Linked DNA regions of Arabidopsis thaliana. The protein of the gene in region 2 purifies or fractionates together with the protein of the main gene of each other region. This does not show direct contact. Each region holds a gene or a part of one and is shown on either strand. Other genes may lie near its edges. The genes, in order: ndhH, CRR42, CRR6 and CRR41.

The links.
Region 1: the proteins of CRR42 (region 2) and ndhH purify together in Arabidopsis thaliana (affinity purification with mass spectrometry, with the first as the bait; one study listed by BioGRID). This does not show direct contact.
Region 3: the proteins of CRR42 (region 2) and CRR6 purify together in Arabidopsis thaliana (affinity purification with mass spectrometry; one study listed by BioGRID). This does not show direct contact.
Region 4: the proteins of CRR42 (region 2) and CRR41 purify together in Arabidopsis thaliana (affinity purification with mass spectrometry; one study listed by BioGRID). This does not show direct contact.

Annotation. Positions count from the first base shown.
Region 1 is NC_000932.1:121,490-126,212, forward strand, and holds ndhH (NADH dehydrogenase subunit 7), read right to left. Parts: upstream 1,704-4,723; coding exon 522-1,703; downstream 1-521. Other genes in the region: ndhA (NADH dehydrogenase subunit 1), read right to left, coding at 1-520; rps15 (ribosomal protein S15), read right to left, coding at 1,807-2,073. UniProt on the Arabidopsis thaliana protein: NDH shuttles electrons from NAD(P)H:plastoquinone, via FMN and iron-sulfur (Fe-S) centers, to quinones in the photosynthetic chain and possibly in a chloroplast respiratory chain.
Region 2 is NC_003076.8:7,100,869-7,105,064, reverse strand, and holds CRR42 (DUF3148 family protein), read right to left. Parts: upstream 1,682-4,196; 5' UTR 1,618-1,681; coding exon 1,367-1,617; coding exon of another isoform or gene 1,330-1,366; intron 1,235-1,329; coding exon 1,120-1,234; downstream 1-1,119. Other genes in the region: AT5G20940 (Glycosyl hydrolase family protein), read left to right, coding at 1-66, 130-334, 517-989; TSL (Protein kinase superfamily protein), read right to left, coding at 2,095-2,190, 2,290-2,454, 2,532-2,586, 2,684-2,948, 3,033-3,243, 3,324-3,503, 3,597-3,691, 3,818-3,887 and 1 more. UniProt on the Arabidopsis thaliana protein: Required for both formation and activity of the chloroplast NAD(P)H dehydrogenase (NDH) complex of the photosynthetic electron transport chain.
Region 3 is NC_003071.7:19,613,115-19,617,753, forward strand, and holds CRR6 (chlororespiratory reduction 6), read left to right. Parts: upstream 1-1,542; 5' UTR 1,543-1,626; coding exon 1,627-1,822; exon of another isoform or gene 1,823-1,848; coding exon of another isoform or gene 1,849-1,900; coding exon 1,901-2,445; 3' UTR 2,446-2,655; downstream 2,656-4,639. Other genes in the region: NET3C (Kinase interacting (KIP1-like) family protein), read left to right, coding at 2,889-2,979, 3,061-3,647; AGP26 (arabinogalactan protein 26), read right to left, coding at 4,105-4,515; AT2G47935 (uncharacterized protein), read left to right, coding at 4,136-4,435, 4,475-4,607. UniProt on the Arabidopsis thaliana protein: Required for both formation and activity of the chloroplast NAD(P)H dehydrogenase (NDH) complex of the photosynthetic electron transport chain. May function in assembly or stabilization of the NDH complex.
Region 4 is NC_003070.9:18,931,912-18,936,540, forward strand, and holds CRR41 (potassium/sodium hyperpolarization-activated cyclic nucleotide-gated channel protein), read left to right. Parts: upstream 1-2,387; 5' UTR 2,388-2,430; coding exon 2,431-3,066; 3' UTR 3,067-3,388; downstream 3,389-4,629. Other genes in the region: AT1G51090 (Heavy metal transport/detoxification superfamily protein), read left to right, coding at 1,074-1,085, 1,211-1,292, 1,415-1,836; AT1G51110 (Plastid-lipid associated protein PAP / fibrillin family protein), read left to right, coding at 3,469-3,762, 3,832-3,885, 3,997-4,071, 4,172-4,294, 4,367-4,558. UniProt on the Arabidopsis thaliana protein: Required for both formation and activity of the chloroplast NAD(P)H dehydrogenase (NDH) complex of the photosynthetic electron transport chain.

The DNA.
Region 1 (4,723 bases), on a different chromosome or scaffold from region 2:
GTATTTCATAACTAATCGATTGGGCAGCAGCTCGCAGACCACCTAAAAAAGAATATTTATTATTTGATCCATATCCTGACATAAGAAGTCCAATAGGAGCAATACTTGAGATGGCAATCCATAAAAAAATACCGATATTGAGATCCGCTAAAACAAGGTGATTGCTAAAGGGAATTACTGAATAACTTAGTAAAATAGAGATAACTGCTATAGATGGTCCAATACTAAATAAAGGAGTATTTCCTCTAGATGGACGAAGATTTTCTTTGAAAAGTAGTTTTGTCCCATCGGCTAGAGCTTGAAGAATTCCCAACGGGCCGGCGTATTCAGGTCCAATACGTTGTTGTATCCCTGCAGATATTTCTCTTTCTAACCACACAATTACTAGTACACCTGTTATGATTCCCAATACAAGAGAAAATATAGGGACAAATATCCATATGAGTCCATAGACCTCTTTTAAAGATTCCAATTTAACAAAAGAATTTATAGTTTGGACTGCTGTTGCATAAATTATCATTTTAACGATCAACTTCTCCCATAATTATATCTATGCTACCGAGTATCGTCATAATATCAGCCAATTTCATTCTTTTAACTAGTTCAGGAAGAATTTGCAAATTAATAAAACCCGGTGGTCGTATTTTCCATCTCCAAGGAAAACCGCTTTGATCTCCTATGAGAAAAATTCCCAACTCCCCTTTTGGAGCTTCAACTCTTACATAAAGTTCTTGTTTTGATAATTCAAAAGTAGGAGAAGGTTTTTTACTAATGAATCGATATTCAAAATCATTCCATTCTGGATTCCTTTTTCTATCAAAGCCCCTGCTTTCTAAATTCTCATAGGGACCCCCTGGAAGTCCTTCCAGAGCCTGTTGAATAATTTTTATGGATTCTGTCATTTCGCTAAGTCGTACTAAATAACGAGCTAATGAATCTCCTTGTTTTTGCCATTGAATTTCCCATTCAAATTCATCGTAAGACTCATAACGATCAATTTTACGAAGATCCCATGGTATTCCGGATGCGCGTAGCATTGGTCCGGATAAACCCCAATTTATTGCTTCTTCCCCACCAATAATCCCAACTCCTTCAACCCGTTCTAAAAAAATAGGATTTCGTGTAATGAGTTTTTGATATTCAACAACCTCTGTTAAAAAATAATCACAAAAATCCAAGCATTTATCTATCCAACCATAAGGTAAATCAGCCGCTATTCCTCCAATACGAAAAAAATTATGCATCATTCTCATACCGGTGGCAGCTTCGAATAGATCATATACAAATTCTCGTTCTCTGAAAATATAGAAAAAGGGAGTCTGTGCACCAATATCTGCCATAAAAGGGCCGAGCCATAACAGATGAGAAGCTATACGACTCAATTCCAGCATAATTACTCTGATATAGCTGGCCCTTTTAGGAACTTGAATATTTCCCAATTGTTCTGGTCCATTTACTGTTATTGCTTCTGTAAACATAGTAGCTAAATAATCCCATCGCGTTACATACGGTAAATATTGTATAATTGCTCGGTTTTCTGCAATTTTTTCCATTCCTCTGTGTAAATAACCTAATATGGGTTCACAGTCAACAACATCCTCACCATCTAGAGTAACAATTAAGCGAAGAACACCATGCATGGATGGGTGGTGAGGTCCCATATTGACTATCATAAGATCTTTTCCTGTAACTGGTCTCTTCATAAGTTTTTCCTTGATTCGTTCTGGCATGAATTAGATTTCTGAATAAAGAAGTTTATCAAAAAATTCAAGATCTAAAAAATTCACTAATTCACAATTTTTGAATTTAACGAGTTTTTAATTCCCGAATATTCAACTGATTAATTAATTCTTTATAACGTACTCTATTTTTTTTTGACAAATAAGCCAGCAGTCGTTGACGTTTTCCCAGAATTTTTCGTAGACCCCGCTGAGATAAATAATCTTTTCTGTGCAATTCCAAATGTGAAGTAAGTCTTCGTATCTTATTAGTGAAACTAAATACTTGAAATTCAACGGATCCCCTGCTTTCTTCTTTTTGTTCTTCAAATGAAATGACTATATTTTTTATCATAAAAAGAAATCCTTCCCCTTTTAATATGAATTGAAAGATATTAATTTTACTGATCAGTAATAATAATGGTAGTTTTTTTGTACAAGGATCTTAATTTAATTATCAACCTCTTAATTCTTCATTTTAGAAAAAAATCTAAATTTAGATCTCAAAAAGAAGGATTCTGTTAATTTATTTATGAATCCGCTATAATTGGTATCTATGTGATTGATTAAATTAATCTCATGTATAAAGATTTAATTTAAAACAATCCCTCATATTTGTGCATATAGTTGTTTTCATATACCGTAACTTATTATATATAGTAAAAAGTATTTATGATTAAGGAATTGGAAATCGCGTATACATGCGTATTCTTATCATACTGAAATGATTTCCGTTAGTAGTATTAAACCAATAGCGATTCATACAAGCTAAATCTTCTAATTTAAAATTGGGCCAAAGAAAGGATTTTAAATTAATTAAGTTATTTTTATCCTTATCAAGATCAAGATCTTTCTTTTTATGCAAAACGGTGGTCAAGTTTTGAATATTCTTATCAAATCTTGAATTTGTATCCCTAGCATTTTTTTTTTTTAAGTTGAAACAAATTAGAATTCGAAATTCTCTACGTCGTTTAGGGGATAGAATTTTTTCAGGGACAAAGAAATCATAATTATTTTTTTTTTTATTTACAGTTTTGTTTTGATATTTTGTAATGGATTTTTCAAAAAATTTTTTATTAATATAGCTTTTTTTTTTGTATCTTTTACTTATTTTGTGTTTATTTTTATGAACCAATGAAATACCTATGGTTCTATATATAATAAGTTGTCCATCGTTTTGTACAGACAAACGCACAGGTTCAATAATCAATATTCCTTTTTTCATTAATTTTGCAAAAGTGAAATTTTTCTCAATCATTAGAATGTCTAGGCTCATCTCTCCTCTTTCAATAGAAGATACCGCTATTTCGTTTGGATTGTTTAGTCTAACCAAGAGACAGTATACTTTTACATTATTGAGAATTTTTTGATTAAAAAAACAATTCCATCGCAATTGAAAACGCGAATATCTTGTCAGAAATAAATCAAGTTCCGCTTCTGTATTACTTTTGTATTGTTTTTTATTTTTACGTTTTTTTATTGTTGATTCTGCAAAATTTTCTTCAATATTTTTTTCTTGGTTTAATCGAGCTGCTTCGGGATTTCTTTTTGTTTCTTTATCTGATTCAAGTTCTACTTGACCGGCCGATTCTTTTTCTTCTTTATTCAGATTATAAAATCGAAGGGATTCTTTTTCATTTGATGGTATAAAACCTTTTTTCTTTCGAATGATCTTTTTATTAACATTTATGTTTTCATTAAAATTTAAAAGAAGTAATTTGATTGGTATGACCCATGGTTTCATTTTATATGTACTAGAAAATAAGAAAAATTCCGGAAAGAAAAAAAATTCAAAATTTGTTATACGCTGATTTAGTATTTCTTCATTCATTCCCATCCAATCAAAAAAGTTTCTTTTTTTATTAGCAAGATCCGTCTGCGTTATTTTATCAATTTTTTGATAATTCTGAACTTTAGTATTAATATATTTTTTTTTACTCTTAGTATCAACCCAAGGCTCAATAGTTACTTTTTTTGTAAACCAAAAGTTAAGAATTCTCCAATCCAAATATTTTCTATGCCGAATTTCCCCCATACCCCGAATATTATATTTTTCTAGAAAAGAAGAGACTAAACAATTATCTAGGGCAATGCCTATAGACATGTCAAAATTTTTTTCTGTAGAATGAATAGATTTATAGCAAAAAAGATTATATATAGAATCTTTTTTTACATTATGTTTTGGATTTAATAATGAGTCGGCCTCAAAAAATTTTTGTTTTTTATAATTATCAAATTTCTTTTTTTCATATGAATCCTCTTTGGTTAAACTTGGGTTTAGAACTAGAGAATCTTTATTTATTTTATTTTTCCAATTTTGGGTTACTAATCTAGCCCATGAAATCTGGGGTAAATTGTATTGATACTGACTTCGTAACCAGTTTTTCCATTGATTTACTTCGGAATTCAAAAAGGTTTTATTTTTCAATTCATAATGAAAGATTCCGTGTTCTTGAAAAAAAACCTTTATTTTATTCTTAACAAAAAAGGATGTTATGCATATGTTATATTCAAGAACAGCCTTTAATTTACAAAAGTTACTAACTTTAATTTGTGATAATTTGTAAAATACATATGCTTGTGATAAAGAGCATAGGTCATAACTCATTTTTTTTTTATTGGATATTAAATTTTTTATAGTCGAAATAAAATAAAGAGTATTTTTTTTTTTTTCTCCATTTTCTTCATTCTTGTAAATATATTTATCAAGAATTTTTTTTGTTGATTCAAAAAAAAGTTGTGTAGTAATTCTTGGAATATTAATGATACCTAGAAAAATAGCTATAGACATTTGTTCGATGCAAAATTTAAAAAAAAAAATGGATTTACGAATTAATCGGGTATTTTTTCTTTTGAATGTCTGCCAAATTTTTTTTGATGACTCAATTATTTTAGAATCATAACGCAGTTTGGTACAACTATTAGTTAAGTTTTGTTTTTCTTTTGAAATTTCTTCTATTTGATTTCTGATTGTCTTTTTTCTATCAATCAAATTTTTGATTTTT
Region 2 (4,196 bases):
TTCACAATGGGGCTCTTTGAGAATCCCATTGCTGATCATAGCTTGGCCAAGAAGCTCGGTAGTAAGGTCTGTAAGATAAAAAAACAGTTTTAAGATAGATCCCAACTTAACATTGAACAAACTCAACAGGAACACAGGGAACTGGCAAGGGAAGCAGTGAGGAAATCTCTCGTGTTGTTGAAGAATGGTGAAAACGCAGATAAGCCGTTGCTTCCTCTGCCAAAGAAAGCCAATAAGATCCTTGTCGCAGGAACACATGCTGATAACTTGGGATACCAATGTGGTGGCTGGACAATCACATGGCAAGGCCTTAATGGCAACAATCTCACCATTGGTACACACACCTTTCCTCACTCTATTCCAATGAATCATCATCATATAGAAGAACATTAGGGTTTCTCAGAACAAGTGACATACTCTAAGATTCATTTTCATACCACTTTTTGTGTGTTGTGATTTCAATATGCAACACTAATGAAGAACATATATTTACCAGTCTGAAATTGAATGTTGCAGGAACAACGATCCTCGCCGCAGTGAAGAAGACGGTGGATCCGAAGACGCAAGTTATCTACAATCAAAACCCCGACACCAATTTCGTCAAGGCCGGTGACTTCGATTACGCAATCGTGGCCGTCGGAGAGAAACCGTACGCGGAGGGATTCGGAGACAGTACGAACTTAACCATATCGGAACCAGGTCCGAGCACGATCGGGAACGTGTGCGCATCGGTGAAATGTGTGGTGGTGGTTGTATCGGGACGTCCGGTGGTGATGCAGATTTCGAACATCGATGCTCTAGTGGCGGCGTGGCTTCCGGGAACGGAAGGTCAAGGAGTGGCTGATGTTTTGTTCGGAGATTATGGATTCACCGGGAAATTGGCTCGGACGTGGTTTAAGACAGTGGATCAGTTGCCGATGAACGTTGGTGACCCGCATTACGACCCGTTGTACCCGTTTGGATTCGGGTTGATCACTAAACCAAATTAACGGTTTTCGATTCGGTAATTTCGGTTCATTAATAAGATTGTTGCGCCAAAACTTAAAATGGCAAAATGTTAAAATAATAATTCGTATTTTTCTGTTGCTTATACAATTTTAGAGACATGATCTCAAATTCTCAATCACTATCTCCTTCGTCAAGCTCTAAAGCTTTGAAATATTTACCATCTAAAAGATATGTTCCAATGGAGAGTCTAACTGCCCACAAGTCCTTTGGTTTTCTCGACACGATTCTGCAAAAACAATAGGATAAGAAAGAAGAGAAGTAAAATTAAGCTAATTTAATTGGCAAGAAAACACTGTTTAGATGATTAGTCTGAGTTTTGTCTTAAAATCTGTATAAAATAGAAGAAGAAGAAGAAGACCTTCCAACATCGCCAGGCTTGACCAAGCCAGAGTTGGCCCTAAGGCAAGGCATTGAAGCGGCCGTTTTTATAACTTTGGGAGCTTCGACGATGATGATCGGTGATCCTACTTGGAGCTTCGATTTTGGTCGTGGAGCCTCGTTTGCGATTTCACAGCATCTCACACTGACTCGTTGCGTGAAGGATCCACTGTGCCATATGCCATATTGCATCTTGGAGAATCTAGTTGAAGAAACAAAAGATAAAGCCATGGAAGAAGAAGCCAGCAAGTGTGAGTTTTTTAGTGGTATGAGTGGGGGGATAAGTAGACTTTTGTCTCGTAGTAGTTTACTAGCAAGCCAATGATTTTCAATCTTCGGTTTTGTCTTGGTTTACTCTTCGGTTTAGTTCAGTTCCAGTCCAGTATTCTCCAGCCGGATTTGTTATATTTCTTATTTCTTCAATTGATCACATTTCATATTGTCTTAAACCTGAGAAGCAAGAACGATTTGGGGCCTGTTTCCAACTTTCAGCTTTCTTCTATTATAAAACATGAAGAATATACATAACATGTTACATAATAAAAGGAAGACAAGACACATTAACTTCACCCGAAATTAATATGGTTCAAGGGGCCGGGAGATAAAATATTTAGACAAACAAAACAGAAACTTTATAAGCTATACCAAAAAATATTCTAGGATCTGGTCTTTTAGCATCTCTGGTTTGTTTTTGAAGACTACACAATCTCACTTCTTAGAGTAGGCAAGATATGGATCCTGTGCCATTGTTAGAACATCCGGCCTATCTTCTTGGTTATATGTTAGACACCGTCGAATCAAATCCTGCAGAAAATGCAAAAGTGAGAACATGGAGAGACAGTTTCATGACTATTTGGTACTACTTTACTTAAACCATGTTTAAGACCGGTACAGTTAATTTACCTTCGCTTCATTTGAGATGGCAGGTCTTGTTACTGGGAACTCAACCTTTTTGGCTTTAATGATTGTGTCTTCTCTTAGTATCCGTTCTTGGCTTTGGTCATGTCCAAAAGGTCGCTTTCCAAACAGCATTTGGTAAAACAGAACACCAACTGACCATACATCAACCTGAGTTTCAACACAATTTAGTACCACAAAACTTCTATAAGATAATCAGATTATGACATCATTGACCAATCACTGACCTTTGATGAGATCATAGGAGTTTTGTTAAGCTCAAAGCATTCTGGGGGCAAGTACCTATATTATAGAACCTTGTTAGCTATAAGATGTCCGGAAGTAGAAGAGACAAAAATAATATAGACCATATCAAGGAGACAAAAACTAGATTGCTCACCAGTATGTTCCAGCTCCCTGTGATGTAAGCTCCATTCCTTGAGAACCAACATTGTCCTCCACTATCTTGCTTAGACCAAAATCAGTTACTTTTGCTACTCCAAACTCATCAAAGAGAACATTACCAGGCTTCAGATCATAGTGGATTATCTTCTGTGACTTTTTGTTCAGATATACAAGGCCTTGAACTATTTGCACAATGATAATCCTTGCTTCTTTCTCAGGAAGATTAGATGTTGCCTTTAATACAGCATCAAGGTCTTTCCCTGCATTAGAAATTCAAAACATAAGAGTGAGAACTCAGAACTGTACTCCAGGATCTACAAAGGAATAGGAGAATTCTGATTTACCACTACAATATTCCAGAACGGTGCAGAATGTATGCATGTCGATATGAAATTTATCCCAAAGCCGAACAATGTGGTGATGCACAAGACTTTTATGGATCTCACATTCCCTGTTGGCATGGCGGATGTAACTTTGCTTCTTTTCTTCACTCCACTGAGCATTTAAACCATGAAGCTTGCACGCAACATATCTATGGTCCACCAAATCATATGCCTGCTTAAAATCCATAACATCATATTACTGCAAAATAATTCTCACATGTAAAAGAATGTAGTATCTATCAATGTTCTGACCTTATAGACTTCACTAAATCCGCCTTTACCAAGAAGATTTAGAAGAGCATAGCGGCTATTCAAAACTGGGAAATGGTTGAAACGAGAACCATCTTCATCTCGTATGCGTTTCATCTCCCTCATAAGTAGCCCCTTCTCTAATGTGTACCTTTCTCTCTCACGCAAAACAGCTTCCTCTTCCTGAAAGGTAAAACCAATAAATGTATGATACGTAACCAGAACCGAATCAACTTATAGGAAACAAGAAGCTGAGATGATGCATAAAGAACATACCCGCTTAATACTAGTAAGACGAGACTTGTAAACCTCGTCAGGGATGATATCTTCCTCCTGTGCTCCTGATTCTGTGTCGGTTCCGTCATTCTTATCTACACCCAAATGGAAAAACCAAGGGTGCCAAACATCATAACAATTTGCCCAAGGAAAAAATCACAAGATATATTACAGGAGATTGCGGATTCACTGACAAACAAAAAAATACTGGGATAACATACCACCATTTTGTCGTTTCTTAAGTAACTTTCTTTGTCTCTCAATAGCCTCCTTGGTTTCCAGCAATTGTCTCTTTTCGTTGCAAATTTATAGAAAAATCAGTACAGTTACTTCAAAGCTTATTGGTATTAGTTTGATAAAAATCCCTCGCTACACAGCTTAACTTACAAGTTGAGCATTCAGATCTTTCAACATTTGTCCGTCCTCCCATGTCTCAGCTATGATCGTTCCTGTCCTGAAATCACCAAAAAACACACACAAGCATATGTATTAAATTTTGATCACAAAATCAAGAACTAACCTTGTAACTTAGCAAAGAAGAGAGCTGCAATTATTGAGAAATGTGAAAGCAACTTCTATCTAAAACTCTATTCGAGTTTG
Region 3 (4,639 bases), on a different chromosome or scaffold from region 2:
TTGGGAACAGTACCCAGGTCCCAGATTGGGGCATCGAAATCGACAACCAACACTCGAAAGCGAATGCCTTTTACAACCCACAGAAGAAGAAGCGGTCAGAGGAAATAGATTTTAGGGTTTGACGGGGGAGTGAATATGTATGTCTGTCTCTGTGTTATCCAATCGCTTCCTTCCTTGTCTCATTTTTAATTGTTGTCAGTCAGTCATTTTATTATTTTATCATTATTTTCTTCAAACTAAATTTGGTAACAAAGTTTTACATTTCATTCTAATTGACCGTATTCTTACCGATTTATCTTCTGCCTTTTTAATTAAGGGATATATATAAAGAAAGCTTTTCAATTATAGAAATAAATTAAGCTGCCACATGATAACGAAATTAAAGTGTGCTTTCTATGTATTTCTCTTTCTCGTTGTTATCTTTTGTTTTGGTAATGTTTCTAGAAATGTTGGAACTTCACCGAAATAAACATGGTAACTGACTAGATTCTAAAAAATCTTGTTCAAAATTCATCATATAAAATAGACATCTGAAGATAAGAAGACTTACAAATAGAATACTTTGGTTTAATGGAAACTTTCTTTCCGTTTTTCCTCTTTTTACGCAATTGTATTTGACAAAACAAAACTAAGCAGAGTAAGCTTTTTGTTGCCGTGATCACAGCACTTTCGCCGCTTTAATGGGCCAAAAGGTGTTTTAACGTTTTACTTTATATAATTAAGATGAAATCTTCCTTCTTTGGATATAAATAATGATTTGGACAACTACTGATTTGGTCAAAACGTAAACAAAAACAAACAAACAAAGGAAAACGTCAAAAAAAAAAAAAGGTGTTATGAGTTATAAAAAATAACATTATTGGGCCGTAAGAATCCTTTTTTTCGTCTATATGGGCCGAATTGAAGTCTAAATGGGTCTCGATCTTAACTATGCCTACACAGCATAAAGAAGTTAATCACTACAACAAAATCATCATTTGGCCTTATAATAGATATTCATTCTCAGGCACTCTAAGACACTGTGAAGTGGATCTTTTGACGCTTATGTTCATCTTACTAGATTGCATAGGTGAGCTTTTTCTCTCAAATCATATTATCTTTGCCACTGCTATGGTAGAGACCTTGGGGACTTATCTTTGCCAAGGAATGTTCCATTGCATAGCTATTTAAACTTTAAAGTGAGCAGAATTCTCAGTCTTTGAGCTACTTACTTACAAAGCCTCTATTGTGCAACTCCTTTGACCCGGTACGACCTTGGAAGACAAAGAAGGCCTCACTGCTTGCAAGGGGCAATGGCGAAGAAGAAGATCAGAGACGGTCAAGCTTGCAGATGCTCCTGAAACACCTCACCAACAGTGAAGGAGATTCGACAATGCCTACATCTACATGAGACCGAGGAGGCTGACTTGAGTTGAAAACATTCCACATTAAAGAAGAGAGCTCTTCATTTTTCTGAACGATTGAAGAAATGCATTCTGCTTAACATTTGAAACCTTTACGACAGACAGCAAAATATATGTATTTGTGCGGTGAAGGAAAAAAGGATAAAATGGAAAGAAATGAAGAAAAGGCCAAAAGAAGAGGATAAAAAGAAGACTAAGACACAAAGAGAGATAGCGTCTGTGAATGGCAACAAAGGCAGTTCTTCTCCCGTGGCTTATCCCATCGCCGAGACACGTATCGCTGTTCCCAGTGGTTCAATTGCCGGCGTTGGAGACCGCCGGGTGGTGTGTAAGAAAGAGGAGGGCAGAAGACGTAGCAGTCTCCGTCGCCTTCAATCCTTCTGGCAATTTCGACATCTCTGCCTTCGAGAATGACCAAGGTTCGTACTTGCTCAATTGATTCAGAATGATAAATAAAAAAAGGCTGCTACTAATTAATTATGTGAAAGGCGTAGCAGATTCAGATAAAGTGGAACCTCCGATGCCTCCAACGACCGGCCGGTACGAAGTAGTGATCGACAACGACTCAATTGGGCGGCTTGACCTATCCCCGTTTCAGAGAGCCATCGGCATAACCTCGCCTGATGATTTTGGTGTAGCTGAACCAAAACGGTATTTGGATCGAACCATCGGATTCACCATCAATTACAAGAGAGAAGACCCCGGGGATCCGCGGGAGCTGTCAGAGTACCCGGACGTAAGACTATGGTTCGTGAGGCTCGACGCGATGTACCCTTGGCTGCCTCTGCTGCTGGACTGGCGAGCTGGAGAACTTGCTCGATACGCAGCCATGTTAGTGCCGCACCAGATGAGCTTGAGAATGGGTGTCGTTTTCAATCCGGAGGCGTTGGAGCTTTTCGTAATGAACAAAGTGTTTGTGGTTTATCCGTGGCTGAAACGGCACGGCGTCCCAAAGCCCAGGTTGAAGACGAGCGACATGGCCAGGATGCTCGGATTCGGTATCGGCGATGAGCTCTTCGACTTGATCGATCACAATGAATGAAAAACGATGTGTTCTATCTTCAAATTACATACGTGGGCCTAATTGTGGGCTTACAATGAAAAAGGCCTGGGGATGGTAATTAAGAGGATTTTTTTGGGTATTTGATACACACGTGGCGAATATTCATTGGATAAGTTGTATTAATAGCCGTAAAATCTGGGAAAATAAATTCAAAATCTCGAATATCTGAAGAGAAGAGAGAGCCCATTCAAAATTTGAAAAACAAATCAACAATTGGTTTATTCGTATCTTTCTCATTTCTCTCTAGTCTATATCGCTCTCAGAATACAATTGGAAAAAAGAACAAGGTATTTAGGAATCTCTCATTCTTGAGTAGCTAAGCATTGAGGTCTCCTTTGCGTTTATAGATTATTTTTTTTGGTTGAAATTGTTTGGTTCTGTTGGGATATGTTGTTGTGTTAGGGAAGAGAACACAAAAAGAAATGGTTAGAGAAGAGGAGAAATCGAGATGGTGGTGGTTCGAGAGCCACAAGAGCTCCAAACATTCTCAATGGCTTCAATCAACACTCGCTGGTTGGTTCTTTTTCTCACTCAGTTCTTCTCTATGTTTTGTGGTTTTTGCCAACTTTTTGGTGTGAAACGTTTGTGGTGCAGAGATTGATGCAAAGACAAAGGCAATGTTGAAGTTGTTAGACGGAAACGCAGACTCTTTCGCTCAGCGTGCTGAGACTTACTACAAGAAACGTCCTGAGCTTATCAGCTTTGTCGAAGACTTTTATCGAGCTCACCGTTCCTTAGCCGTGAACTTCGACCACCTCAAGTCTTCCGACCACTATGGATCTCGCTCCGCTAAGGTTCCCCAACAATCCATGGAGTCCGTTTGTGACAGCAATTCTCACTTTGAAGATGCCGATTCTGAGATTGAAGACCCCCTTCAAGATGATGCCTCCGCAGCTGATTGCAAAGAAGATGAGACTTGGCAATTGGAACAAGAAAGGTTGAAGCTGATCGAAGAGACTGATGCTCTGAGGAAACAGCTCTTAGACAAGGACGAAGAGAAGAGAGAGGTCATCAGACAGCTTTCTCTAACCCTTGAGACCCTCAAAGACGAGAACTTGAGCCTCAAGAGACGCCTTGCCCACCATTCTCTCAAGCAACGCACCGTTTTGGAGTTCAAGCCACTAAACAAGTTCTTTGGGAAGCTGTTTTACATTATGTGCGATGGCAACAAGGTCCTTTAGGTTGGCTCATCTACCTCATGAGCTTAGCTTCGATATTTTCTGTGGTTCATTTCACTGTTTATCAAGATATATCCTGTCCTTTCCGTGCTGTATTATAACCGGTAATTATCCTACTTAATAATGCATGCTGTTCTGATTTGTTCAATCACAAGAACCCAGTTTCAGACAAGGACATGTGATGAGTGATACATAATTGGATGATCAATCAATTTTGACTTTGAGGCACAAAAAACACACACTATCACTGCTACCAAGTACAACAACTGCGCACTAGCCCAAACTGCAGAGTGCTTTATGAGCAAATCTCACACGAACGAACACTAGAAGAAGCTATATTAATATTACATGAAAAAAATTCAGAAGAAGCAGAGAGTAAGAAAGAATACATTTGTGAATATTTGGTTTCTGCTGATGATATTGTGTAGAGTGCTGCTTACTCGCTGTTTCTATATGATTACTAGAAGAAACTGCAGAAAGCTAGTAGCAACATGAGTAGGACAAGAAGCAGAGATGAGAGTTGTGATGAGACCAAACAAACAGAGGAAGAAGCTGGAAGAGGAGATCCAACTGGAGAAACTTCGAGCAGAGGATCAGGAGTGACAGCATCTGGGTTTGGTGGACTAAGGCTTGAGGGGATTGTCGGCATGATAGACGATTCCGACGGGGAAGGAGACATTTCGCTTGAACCTGGAGTAGGGAACAGGGGAGAGGTATCTGGAGACATGGCCGGGGTAGAAGCTGAGAAACTCGATGGAGCTTCAGGCAAGAACGAAGGTGCAGCTGATATGGTGGACAGCTGAAACTCAGATGTTGAAGTGTGTAAACAGAGTGAGAGAACGGTGAAGGCAGTGAACAGAGAGACGGACATGGTTACTGTGAATGTCTCTCCTGCTTCTCTGAGAATGTTTCTGAGAGACCTTAAGAAACTGAAGAAGAAAAAGGTATACAGCTATAGAGGAGGTAAAAGACAAGATTGGTGGGTTTGGTTGTGG
Region 4 (4,629 bases), on a different chromosome or scaffold from region 2:
CAAAGAAAATATTTAGGATTTGAGATATGGTAGAAAAATATGAGAGAGAATGATTATTTACATAATGAAAAGTGATTGAAGTTACCTTTTAAATGTAACTAAATTACATGAGTTACAATTCTAATTTGTTTGAATGACAATGAGTGAAGAAGAATATAATTAATACACAATTAGTATGATAGTTACAATTTAGTATTCAATGGTTGATTAATAAATGTGAATAAATTTATTGTTTTTGTGGGTTAATTGGAGATAAATATTATTCTATTTTTATTTTTGAAAAATTGGTTGTTAAAAATGAGACCTTATTTTTATATATACATGATTAAACTATTTTGAACTTGAATCCATTTGTTTTGGATTTACTCACTTTTCCAATGTTACTTATAGTTTCGCCAGTGGAATATAAGGTTAGAAAATATGAGAGTAAAAATCAGGAATTAGGACATGTAAAATCCAGAAATATCTGAGGACGGATCTCACGATTGATTATAAGATTCGCATTACATTTTCTCTTCATTTTTTTCAGATAAGAAAATTGGATTCTATCAATTTGTCGTCCTATTGTTCTTTTCTTGTTTGATATACAAATACGAGTCACTGATTTTTTTTAGTTGATTGGTAGAGTCTTAAAGGAAACATCAAATTCAGACAGTCCTTTTACAACCATTTCATCCATGTCGGCTCATTATTTCGCACCACAGAAGAATAACCCAAAATTATTAGAAAACTTGGACCACTATAAGCACTTGAACTGTGGTCGTGCACTGACTAATGTGAGCCCGTTTTGGTAATTCTCAGCTGTGTGCGTAATTGATGTCGGCGTCACCTTCAGAAACTTCGAAATTATGTGTGATACACCGTGTTTCATAAATTCATACACGTCATTTTAGATACAAAATTAGATATTTTCATTTGATAAAACCGAAAGAAATAATAAACTTTTTCTTTCTTGTTCTCATTTTAAGTCTCTCTTTATATCACTTTCTATATATATTGAATCATGCAAGGAATACACATAAAATACTTGTGTTCTTGTACTTGTTTGGTGACTCAAGCAAGACTCCCAAGCTATGGCGGAGAAGGTACTTTACCAAGATCTGAATTTTCATATTACTTCTCTTTTATTGATCATATCCATAATTACCCTCTAATAGAGTTACTAATTAAGGTAATAATGATCATGAAATTATATGATATGCACAAACAGGTAGTGATGATGAAATTGAAAGTGGATCTAAACTGTTCCAAATGCTACAAAAAGGTCAAGAAAGCTATCCGCAAATTCCCTCGTGAGTTTCTTTCTTTAATTTGAGTTTCTTTGTTCATTTGAATTATTGCGGGTTGAGAAGATTCTGAATCTTGATAAATGGATACGATTTTGTGGTATGTGTTGTTTTGCAAAAAAAAATAGAAATAACAGACGAATTGTTTGATGAGAAGTCCAACACGATCATCATCAAAGTAGTTTGTTACGATCCTGAGAGGCTAATGAACAAACTTTGCTACAAAGGAGACGGTTCTATCAAGTCCATCGTGATCCTTGAGCCACCCAAACCGCCTCAACCCCAGCCTCAACCACCTCAGAAGCCTACTGCCCCAGCCCCAGCCCCAGCCCAAGCCCAAGCCCCAGCTCTTGTTCGGCCGGCTCCGGTTCCTGTTCTTGTTTCGTCTTCCGCTCCTCAACCGATGCCGATGTGGCAGCCGTATCATTGTGGGCCGTATTACGAGGCCCAACAGTACCAATGTTATGGAAGGCCCGTTTACGAGAGCTGGGGAGGTGGACGACAATGTTGCCACGAAGATATGAACTCTCAAGGATGCTCCATCATGTGAAACACTGAACCAAGTCTCCTCCTACTCATATATAGACTATAGTATATACCAGCAAATAAATAACTACACGAAGTTATTTTTAATTGTCTTCGTCTTACCAGTATTTCTATTTCGAGTCCTCGTTTATGTATGTAAACACTACAGGGTTTTGTTTCTTGTGTATATCACGTTTTGGTTCTAATACAACTTTTATTTGCTCTTCTTTTCTTGGTAGTAAAATACAAATAGTAAGATTTTTCGCATAAAAATATAGTTTCTGTTAGAAAATAAAAGTATATTAGCACGAAAGAATGGAAACTAAAAACTCTGAGACCGGCCTCTCCAATGAGTGACATGAGTCGATGAATACTCAACTATTATGTTTTTACAGTTTACTTATCCACAGATGACACTGTTTCTTTCTACTGTGAAAAGAGCAGCCGTGGTGCTTACACCTCCACACGACACCGTTTAAACGGAAACTAAAAACGACGTGACGTTCTTGTCTGAAACACTTAAACGACGCTATAGTGTACTGTAACTCCAGAGAAGGCCTTATCTTTCTCCAATTCTCAAAACCCTCTTTAACACTCTTCCTCTAAGCTTTTTAAATCAATGGCTTCCACTTCCACACTTCTTCTTCCATCTCTCTCCTCTAAGAATCTTCACATCGCAGTCCCAATAAGAACCAATAGCTTCGTTCGTCGAACAACAAAGTTCTCAACAAAATGTTCGTCGAATCCAGAGTCAAAGGATCAATTCATCAATCTCACACCAGCACCTGAATCAATCAACACAACAAGCGCAGAGAAATTCCCAATAGAGAAACGAAGAAGATCAGAGATCATACGAGACAGAACACAAAGAGGAATCGAGAAACCAGAGCCACCAAACTTCGAAATCGGTTGGAAAAGAACAAAAGAGATAAACTTGGAGAAACCTAAAGGTTATGTAATAATGGATTTCTTAGAAAAGTTCGAAGCTTTAATGGCGAGAGAGTTTGGATCAAAGGAGCTTTTAGCTAAAGCTGGTGAGATTGTTGCAGAGAGAGCTAGAGAAGAAGCTGAGGTTTTGAGAGATGAAGGTAAAGTTGAAGAGAGAATGGTTACAGAGCTTTTTAGGGTTTTGAAATTGATGGAGATGGATTTAGCTATGGTTAAAGCTTCTGTTAAAGATGAAACTTTGAGTCAGAGGATTGAACAAGCTAGAGCTCGGTGTCGACAAGCTATTCTTGTTGCTAATTCTTTCTAATTCCTTCTTCTTCTACTTGCAAATTGAGTCAAAAGTCTATGAATTTTGTTTATAGTTTTACACAAAACAGAGCTTCTTCATCTGTAAAAGATCTTATTTTTTTGGTTCTGTAATCATCTCTGGATCATTCATCTGTTACTTTAATGGTAGAAGAAGGATTGAAGATGAGAGTCTCATGTGAAGAATCAAAACAAAGATTCATGCTTTTGGTTTTGCAATTTGTGAGGAAGCTTAAGGGTTTTTGGGAGGAAAAAACTTAATTAGTTGAGAAAATTTTACTTCCACTAGTTTCATATTTCAAGATATTTCACCAAGACTCAAGCTTTATTGTACACCACACATTAAAAATGCAAAGTTTAATCATTTTAACAAAAGCTTCACAAGCAGCAGTAGACAGCAACAATGGTGGCAGTCAGATTCTACGCTGTAGAGATGTCGCTACCATGTTTATGTCCATGCCCATCATCGCCGATTTCTCTTTCATTGTGTTCTCCGAGATTCAATCTTCTTAACACAACAAGCAGGAGACTAGGTTTGTCTAGAAACTGTAGAACTCTGCGAATCAGTTGTTCATCTTCATCTACTGTCACTGACCAAACTCAACAATCGTCTTTTAATGATGCTGAGTTGAAACTCATTGACGCTTTGATCGGAATTCAAGGCCGTGGCAAATCTGCTTCTCCTAAACAGCTCAATGTGTGTAAAAACTTTAAACTTTCTTTAATTTTCCGTCGTGTTTATGATTTGAGAGATTCTCTGTTGTAGGATGTTGAATCTGCTGTGAAAGTTCTTGAAGGTTTAGAAGGCATTCAAAATCCTGTATGAAATGTTTTCTTGTGAATCCTTTTATCTTCAAATTACCAAATTCTGTTATGTTTTGTTCTTTGACTCATTTGGTTGTCTTTTGGGGAATGTTGTTTAAATGTTTAGACAGATTCTGACCTAATCGAAGGTCGTTGGCGATTGATGTTCACCACAAGACCTGGAACTGCATCTCCAATCCAAGTCAGTTCTTCTCACACATTCATCATCATATCTCCATTTTTTCTAGATGATTGTAATTTGTGTGTAAGAAGAAGAGCAATGGAAGGATTTGTCTCTGCAGAGAACATTTACAGGAGTTGATGTGTTCACTGTGTTTCAAGATGTATACTTGAAGGCAACAAACGATCCTCGTGTTTCAAACATTGTTAAATTCTCTGATTTCATTGGAGAGCTGAAAGTTGAGGTGAGTTTCTTCACTAAAGTCTTTGCATCAAAAGACTGAGATGTTTATACTTTGAATTGTTTCATTTTACAGGCAGTTGCGTCGATCAAAGATGGGAAACGAGTTTTATTCCGTTTTGATAGAGCCGCTTTTGATTTGAAGTTCCTTCCTTTCAAAGTTCCATATCCAGTTCCTTTTAGACTTCTTGGTGATGAAGCAAAAGGTTGGCTAGATACTACTTATTTGTCGCCTTCAGGTAACCTTAGGATTTCTAGGGGAAACAAGGTAAATGAGTTTCTTGATTCTCAAAAAGAAAATTAAAGCTTTATAGCATTTTTATCCATGAGGCTGTATAT